Daphnia pulex: one gene and its partner. The main gene of each other region encodes a partner of the protein of the gene in region 2 in a complex. Links are inferred from orthologs where the notes say so. Each region holds a gene or a part of one and is shown on either strand. Other genes may lie near its edges. The genes, in order: THO complex subunit 3-like and THO complex subunit 2-like.

The links.
Region 1: the proteins of THO complex subunit 2-like (region 2) and THO complex subunit 3-like are in contact, whole or in part, in a cryo-EM structure (PDB 7ZNL), measured with the Homo sapiens proteins. The link is inferred for Daphnia pulex from reciprocal best matches to the Homo sapiens genes THOC2 and THOC3. Residues at the interface, in NP_001075019.1 of Homo sapiens: Tyr395, Arg396, Pro401, Lys402, Gly403, Ala404, Lys405, Gly406, Ser407, Pro446, Ile447, Ala450, Arg454, Cys500, Asn501, Ala502, Cys503, Met504, Glu506, Pro563, Arg566, Gln567, Lys570, His573, Tyr603, Leu604, Thr605; in NP_115737.1 of Homo sapiens: Asp193, Met196, Ile208, Val217, Gln218, Asn221, Ala222, Pro224, Ser225, Ala244, Asp245, Ala246, Leu247, Ser249, Trp251, Asp252, Asp254, Glu255, Leu256, Val257, Cys258, Val259, Cys261, Ser263, Leu265, Asp266, Pro268.

Annotation. Positions count from the first base shown.
Region 1 is NC_060028.1:7,657,216-7,661,104, forward strand, and holds THO complex subunit 3-like, read right to left. Parts: upstream 2,601-3,889; 5' UTR 2,147-2,600; coding exon 1,967-2,146; intron 1,900-1,966; coding exon 1,743-1,899; intron 1,683-1,742; coding exon 1,478-1,682; intron 1,412-1,477; coding exon 1,250-1,411; intron 1,174-1,249; coding exon 921-1,173; 3' UTR 725-920; downstream 1-724. UniProt on the Homo sapiens protein: Component of the THO subcomplex of the TREX complex which is thought to couple mRNA transcription, processing and nuclear export, and which specifically associates with spliced mRNA and not with unspliced pre-mRNA.
Region 2 is NC_060017.1:3,791,981-3,796,565, forward strand, and holds the start of THO complex subunit 2-like, read left to right. Parts: upstream 1-1,626; 5' UTR 1,627-2,097; coding exon 2,098-2,159; intron 2,160-2,266; coding exon 2,267-2,337; intron 2,338-2,399; coding exon 2,400-2,491; intron 2,492-2,553; coding exon 2,554-2,913; intron 2,914-2,973; coding exon 2,974-4,401; intron 4,402-4,471; coding exon 4,472-4,585. Other genes in the region: uncharacterized protein LOC124205981, read right to left, coding at 1-479, 560-686. UniProt on the Homo sapiens protein: Component of the THO subcomplex of the TREX complex which is thought to couple mRNA transcription, processing and nuclear export, and which specifically associates with spliced mRNA and not with unspliced pre-mRNA.

The DNA of each region.
Region 1 (3,889 bases), on a different chromosome or scaffold from region 2:
CGAATCTTATTACGAGAAAATTTAAGAATAATTTGATGAGTCTAATTACGAGATAAGACCATAATTTACACAGTGGCAGAATTTTCAAAAGTAAACTTTAACTGCGCAACGCACAAATTCAAAAAAGAAATAAAAAATTAAAGAATGCGAATAATTTCAACTTCTCGCATCCGTTTTACACCAATCGCAAAGCAGATAAATAACAGCTTTCCATGTTGGAATGACACGAGAAGCATTCCGAGTATTTCACGTTCTAGCTGCGGAGAACAATGAACATGAATCTACTCGAGCAAAACGATACATTCGTCTATGTGCCGCTTTGCTGCCTATATATGGGTGTGTGTGTTTAGTGTTTACCAACTACCGTTACGAAATATCAAACGACATTTTAGCCTTGTACATAATCAACGGCACGTATGATGTAACACAAACTATCAATCTATCTGTTTCTACGAAATATGCTTATTATCACGACAACTTAAATTAATTTGCCTTTAGTAATAGAATAAGGATAGGAATAAGTCTTACCTAGATGGACTGCTTGCATAAAAGCGTCGTATTTCTTTAAACGTTAACGCCCTGTTTTTTTCATTATTGACTAAAAATTTGTGCCGAACGGTCATCACCTTTTAACAAATATGGGATCTAGTAATAACGAAAATTATTATTGAGTAATTAATTATGTTTGAACGTTAAAAAAAAGGGAAAATGTGTCCTGGAACAATTCAGTTTTCTGGAAAAGATCTCTGATCTGAGATCCATTTTACTTGTATCTCTCTCAACACAGTTGAAGTTTGTAAGCTTGGCAAATAGTTCTTGACAAGAGTAAACAAGAAAATCTGCAAGTGAAAAAATAAAAAAAAAAAAGCTGGATTCTGTATAAAACACGAGACCTCCTAGTTTTGATTCGTATGGGCCCATCACTCGTTAGAGAGACCAAAGAGCTTCACAGTTCCGGCGTCTCTGTTTCCGTCGTCTTTATCGTCACAGGCGTAGGCCAGCAGGTGAGAGCGTGGATGCCAGGCGACTGTGAAGGTTGGCGTGTCAACTGGAATGCTGATAACGCGCTCGCCTGTACCTACGTGGCTGACGTCGATCAGCAAGTCCTCTGACCCGGACGCCAACATGGACCCATCGTGACTGAAACTCAATGTCCGAACTGGCCAATCCAACCTAAAGGGGAAACACCCAGTCAGTAATTGAATAACCTCAATAGAAAACGGCACGTTATTATTGGCATTAATGTTACTTGGAGAAAGTGCGCAAACAAGCAATTTCATCGGCATCCCACAGAGAGACTAGGGCGTCGGCCGACCCAGTGGCAAAGTACCGTCCAGTGGGGTCGAATTCGATGCAAATGCAGTTGGCGGGGTGAGCCTGTGTGACGTGAACGGTCGTAAGCTCTGGGTAACTAGATACAAGAGAATTGATAGCGTCATGCTAGATTGAAAGCAGGGGGAAGAAAATTCATCATTACTCTAATATGTGGATGCAGCCTTGCCCACTAGTCAAAAAGAAAAGATTGCTAGCCTTGTTCCATTCTATTTCGTTGACTTCAAACTTGAACGGATGTTCTATTTTAATCTTAAAATTCCTGGCATCAATAAAAGTAACAAGGTCTTCCTTATTTCCCACTGCAATGGAATTTCCATCAGGTGACCACGTGATGTTGATATTTTCTCCTGTCAAATCACATTAATGAAGGATTGAATGTTTAAGCATAATTTCGTAATTAATTGTACCCTTGGTGTTTACTGTGGCGACACTCTTTTTAACTCTTGCATCCCAAACTCTCATGGTTTTGTCTCCACTGGCGGTGCTGAGCAAATCAGGATTGGTTTCGTGCCAACATAGCTGATCGACACTGTCATTGTGTCCCACAAACGTTTGCTCCTTAACCTGAAACAGAATGCCTCAAGCTCCATTATAATTGCTGCATGATTGATAAGCCGGGACTAATACTAACCAGTCTGTCGCTTTCCATAGTAAAAATGCACACCGTCTTGTCAAAGGAACCCGACGCTAACCGTCTTCCATCGCAATTCCAATCAACCGTGTGAACCTTGGCCGAATGTGCAGAGACTTCCCTCGTTCGAGTGTGCGTTTTAAAATGATTTTTCAGCTCTTCCAATTCGGCGACTGCCATCTTCTTATAATTTCGGGAAAAAAAAGCGGTTTATATACCTTTACTCGCGTGTCAACAAAACACAGTGTGTGCAGACGAACTAACGCGAAGCCGGTCGTCCCGCCATTTCCAATGCCAAGTCTCTTCTTCATCCGCCAGATGGCAGTTGGAGCGCGAAATTTGAAATTCCTAACTCACTAATAAAAGAAAAAAGGGGTCGGGCAAGGAATGCGTGGTGGTAATGTCGTCTCCTCAATTGGCTCTGATTAGTCGGACGTTAAACGATACGTTTATCGACTGGCTGGCCCAAAATAACAAAAATAAAATAAAAAAGGCGTAGGGTGGGCGGATAGGTGGAAATGCTTTTGTTACCAAACACGGGACACACACCGTAATCAAGCGTGACTAGTACACACACACACACACACAATGAACTCAACAAGCGAAGGGCGTCCAGCCTCTATCAGACGAGATCTAGCTGCATGAATATTATACTCTCTCTCCCAAGTCCCAGCTACACATATAAACTATAGCTGTGGAGCTTGCGCCATTTTGAATGTTATTACACGTCCGATAAATATATATATATCTACACGGCAATAATATGCGCCAAAGCCAAAAGAACCGAGTCCAAATCAACTGGGATGGGCAGCAGCAGCAGCAGCTATGCCCGTTTCTTCAAAAACTACGACTATATAGATTTCAGTTTTCTTATATTTTGTTCTTTTTTTCTTTCTTTCACAGCGCGCAATCATCAAATGATCCGTGTTTGGGCATCGGGGTAATATAAAGCAACAAAAAGTCGTAGTCTCTCTCTGCCAGTGCATGCTGGACCCACAGCGCCGGCACACAGCACATAAGACATCTACAACAACTACAACCAGAACGGCTTCTATATAACGCTAACGACTAACGAGTTAGCATCGACTTTACAAGAATTTACAGCTGTATAGTCGATGGAAGAAGAGAGCGGGGGTAGTAAGGAGAAAAAAAAGGGAAATTTACGAGTCCCCCTCTTCTTCTTCTTCTAGGAGAGAAAAGAAAAAGAAGACGGCCATAAAATAAGCAAATTTCTTGCCCGTTAACTGACGATAAAAGCGACTGGGCGTCCAAGCGCGCCTTGTGGCCTGGCCTGGCCTGGGCTGCTGCTGATGCTCCTACTGGACCTCCTTTTTCTTTGGCTGCTCTCTCCATCATTACACACACCAAAAGAACTTCTTCTTCTTCTTCTTCTATTTTGATAGCCAATCGGTCCCGTGTGTGCGTAATAACATATCGCAGTCGTAAATCTGCGAACGTCTCGTTTCGTTTTGCCCAAAAAGATTCTTTTTCTCTCTCTTTCCCTGGACCTTTTGGCTGGTCACTGGACTCGTCTCGTTGGCCTATACCCAAAGAGTAGTAAAATAAAAATATATAAGAAATAAAGGAAAAAAAAGGGTTTTTTTTCCTTCTATTTTATTTAAAACTCTTCCTTCTCCCCTTCAAATGAAAACGTCTATAGGGTAATACGATTCCGATGATACGCTTTTTTGTTGCTGGTGTGCCTCGACACTTTATGGAGATTGGACCCGCTGGCCCGTTATATATATCCCGGTGATTTACAACGCGGATATATATATATATAAATACAGCAGGGCAGCTCTGCTGTGTGTGTTGTAACATTAAGTATATAATATATATAGGAGAGTTTCTATTACAATAGGCATTCCGCCCGACGATGATTGCGTTATTGTTGCCTGTTCCATATTGATGAACTATGCTAAT
Region 2 (4,585 bases):
TGGAGTAGGAAGTGTGACCTCATAATTTGGTTTGTTCGGAGGTGGCGTTGACTGGTAGCCTGACGGGTACCCAGATCCATAAGATCCAACCGGAGTGCTCGTCGTTTGAGGATAACCGACACTCGTAGCTGGTGGGTATGTAAAGTATACTTCCTGGTGATTTTGGTGATGATAGTTGGACGACGCTGGGTATCCGGTTGGTTTGGGAACTCCATAAGTGTGTGAGGGCTGTGCGGGTCTATTAGGTTGCGGACTATAAGAAGGTACTGGTGGTCTGGCAATCGGATAACCAATCGGTGCCTTTGGTTGGTTGTAGCCCTTGAAGTGTAGACCGGGAGGTGGGCGAGGCGTTGCAAAAGTAGGAAAATAGAGTCGAGGTTCAACCCGTGATGTGCCGTACGTGTTGGACCATCTTCTCTTTAATCGTATCTGGTTTGTTGGATCCAAGGTAGATGTTGAATTTGAATAATTCTGTTGCCCTTGGAAAATGATAAAAATTTGTTTTATTTTATTGCGTCAGCATCGTTTGTGGGTTTAAATTGGGAAAATTCATTCTTACTGCTCGATTGGTTTTCGGAATCGCTGTTTTTCGGATCGACAAAGGCAGCAGCTGATGTCGAAAATAAAATTGCGGCGACGATGAGAAGAGAATTAAGAGGAGACCACTTGGCGGTTCGACACCGCATCTTGAAATCAAACGGGTCACAGAAAATCACCTCCAGTTATAAAGGTTTGCTTGTTGACAGCCATGGCTTCTGGATGTTCGGTTAAATCACCGTTGTTGACACCTTCTTTGGCCTACATTTTTATATCAATTAAATAAAAAAGGAAAGAGGAATTTTGGAAATACTATACATGTAAGGCGTCAAAGATGTCATCAAGGATGTGACGTATTTGCCAGTCATTGCTCTTTGTTTAAAAAAATGGAATATGTGTGTTACATATTTTAAATGTTCTTTTTATTTTTGACGATTCTTATTGTTTGATTTAAGTCCATGTGAATTCGCCCTATCTTATCCTATTTTATGTCTTTTCTACCGTTTCCCCGTTGTAAATGGTGTCACGACACCGGCAACCCAACAGATTCACGCCCTTCCTGTAGATTTCGTCTCTTAGGAAAGCGTGAATCCGTACCTCTTGTACTTATGTACTTTTTCTTTAATGATTTCTATTCTTTCGAGTTATTTATCATAATTATTTGGATATCGATAAAATTTTTTAAATTGAAAAAAAGGCCAAAATTATTGTTAGTTTTGTCGGAGTTATTATAAAAATAAATCGTTGTTACTCTCCGCATTAAAGTCTGTCTTATAATTGAAGATGCCGTTTCTCATTTAGAAGAATTTCTAGAGAAGGACGGGGAGAAAGAGAAAGTCCCAGTATATACGTATACCCATCTGCACGCACAGCTATATAAGCCGAAACGGCAGGAACGAATTTGTACAAATAGTCCTACTCAACCGGAAGCCAATACGGATCTTTACTAAAACCAAGAAATATTTTTATCGCTCACGTGTTGCTCCGCTAGCAGTCACTACCTGCTGGGTCTGTCATCCTTTTACCTGCGACGCTACATCCATTTGGTCCACCTCCAGTTTATCATTGCTAGAAGTAACAGCTTGAAATGTTTGTTCCTAGATGGCGTTAGCAGCAGCCTCTTTTTCCTCTTCCCCCTATAAAACTAAAATCGAAATATCTTCTTTACTGTAACGTTTAAATAATAAGAATATTTTGTGTAATTCGATTCGCCTTTGAAAACTTCATTAAACCGTATGGCTTAAAAATTGTTCTGACAAATAACCCCCCGACAAGCTTACAGGAATAGGAAAAGATCCCGTCTTTAATTAGAGTACTCCGTGCTAAAGTGGTCGGTAGGCTACTCAGTAGACTCCAGCAAGGCTCTAAGCTTGAGTCCATGTTTATGTTGTCACATATGCCACCAAAGAGTCGCTTCCCCGTTTGTTTGGTATTTGTTCGTTGTCGTTTGAATTCGCTTCTGCAATTTTGAATGGCCTAAGGACTTCTAAAGACAGATACTGCGACGTGTGAAGTGGAAATCACCGAATTCGTCAGTTGTTGCTTAATCGAGGGACACAAATGGCGTCGTTAATTTCGCAAGAAGTATGGAAAACGTGGGAATCACATGGACACGTTGAATTGTAAGACTCAACAATTGTTTTATATCACTGACACTACATTCTTTGACTTCAACAATAGTAATAATATGACATAACTAATTTACTCTTTTTATCTGGTAATCTTTTAGTGTGAAACTGCTGGAAAGCTGGATTGGCACCGATAACAATAGTCAACATATTCCTTCAATTGGGAGTAAAGGTTTGTTGTTATTACATTACATTTCCAAGTATTTTATTTATCTTATGTTTTACTGTTTTTAGATTTGTTTCGTGCTATATATGAGTTCTTGTGGCAAGCCATCAAAGGTGGAATAAAAAGAGAACTAGTTTTATCAACCATTGGAGATATTCTGGTATAGATTTTGATCTTAACACTTTTTATTTGTGATTTTGTCAATTAAATATTTGTAAGTAGGTTTTGCATGGTGATCTAGCATCGTTGACACTAGATGTTCTCAATGTTATTGACCATGAAACGTTGGTTAATGAGAATAATGATGAACGTCAAAAGTTGTGCAGCATGCTAAAAGAACTGGAAAACTGGCTAAGTGATTCAATGATTAAGGAACGCTTAGAGATTGACACATTACAAGATTGCAGTTTACTGAAGACAAAGAAGATATTTTACTCCCGTTTCATCAAAGTAAAGACAAAATTATTTTACAAGCAGCAGAAGTTTAATCTTTTACGGGAGGAGAATGAAGGCTATGCAAAACTAATAACTGAACTCAATCAAGAGATTGATGACACCATCACTCCACTCTACATTTTACAAGTAAACATTTGATTAATATTATTCTCTGACCATGTACCAATATTCCCCTCACTTACACAGGTTGTACAGTCTTTAATTGGTTGCTTCAACTTGGATCCGAATCGGGTGTTAGATGTGATTATGGAATCATTTGAATGTCGGCCGCAGCTTCACAGTCGTCTTTTTGTTCCACTGATTCGCTCGTACATGTCAGATTCGTTGACTTTGTGTGAAGTCTTAGGGTTCAAGTTTACTTCATTCGACCCGTCTTCTACACCAAACTCTCTTTTCGTCATCACTGCTCTTTTATTGCAGCATGGAGTCATTCATCTTGAAGATATTTATCGTTGGCTTACGCCTAAAGATAGCGAAATCGACGAATCCGCCGCTAAAGAATTAGCAGACGCAAAAGAGTATGCTCGTCGAATGAATATCATCGCTGTTCCAAAAGAAGACGACAAAATTGAAGAATTGATTGAAGAAAGGGCACCTTATAATCAGAAATTTGGACTGTGTGAAGCTCTTCTTTCAGTGGGAGCTTGGGAACAAGCGTCTACTCTTCTTAAACGTCACCCAGAGTTTTTCGTCACATCTTATCGACCCATCTCGAGCAGTATCTGCAAACTGGTCGACTACGTAATTGAACCGGTGTATCGCACTCGATGCTGCATATCTCCAAAACTTTCGGGCAAACCAGTTTTATCTGTCGGTGTATGGAACTTCCCCAAGACAGCCAAGGAAATGAAGGAGTTGAGAGAAACTGCTTTCCCCATGCTACTCTCTTTGGGACCCCATTTGTATAACGATCCTGTCCTCCTGCACAAGTTAATCCGTTTGTGCAATACTGCGTTAGATGATTGTGGCTTGAACAGTTCAAAGAAATTTCCGCAAGACCTGGATTCGCTGTACTTTGACGTTCTTACACTGTTTGATGTTGTAATATTGCCATCACTCGCCCTCATGGAATCGAATTGCTGTGTAGCAGAAGAAATCTGGAATGTTTTGAAGAAATTGCCTTATGAGCACCGTTATCGTCTGTATGGCCTGTGGAAGAACGACACGTTTCAGAGCCATTCTTTGCTGATCCGCCGCAAAGTAGACTGCGTTAAACGCATCAAGTACATCATGAAGCGTGTGAGCAAGGATAACGTCAAGCCCACGGGTCGAGTGCTTGGCAAGCTTAGTCACAGCTGCCCTGGCTTTCTTTTTGACTACATTTTGTCCCAAATTCAAATCTACGACAACCTGATTGGCCCTGTTGTGGATTCACTCAAGTACCTCACAAACCTATCGTATGATGTTCTTGGTTATTGCGTTTTGGAAGCACTTTCGAACCCAGACAAGGAGCGCACCAACCATGATGGAACTACCATCTCTATGTGGCTGACGGCTCTTTCCGCCTTTTGTGGAGCCATTTACAAGAAATACAACATAGATTTGACTGGACTTCTCCAATACGTTGCCAATCAACTAAAGGCGCAAAAGAGCCTAGATCTTCTTATTCTTCAGGTACTTATATTGATTTAATATAATAAATATCTTTTAAAAACAACTTAATGTTTAACTATTGCACATTCAGGAAATGGTGCATAAAATGGGGGGCATCGAAGCGTCCGAGGAAATGACAAAGGAACACATGGAAGCAATGCAAGGCGGTGAACTGTTAAGAGCTGAAGCTGCTCATTTTGGACAG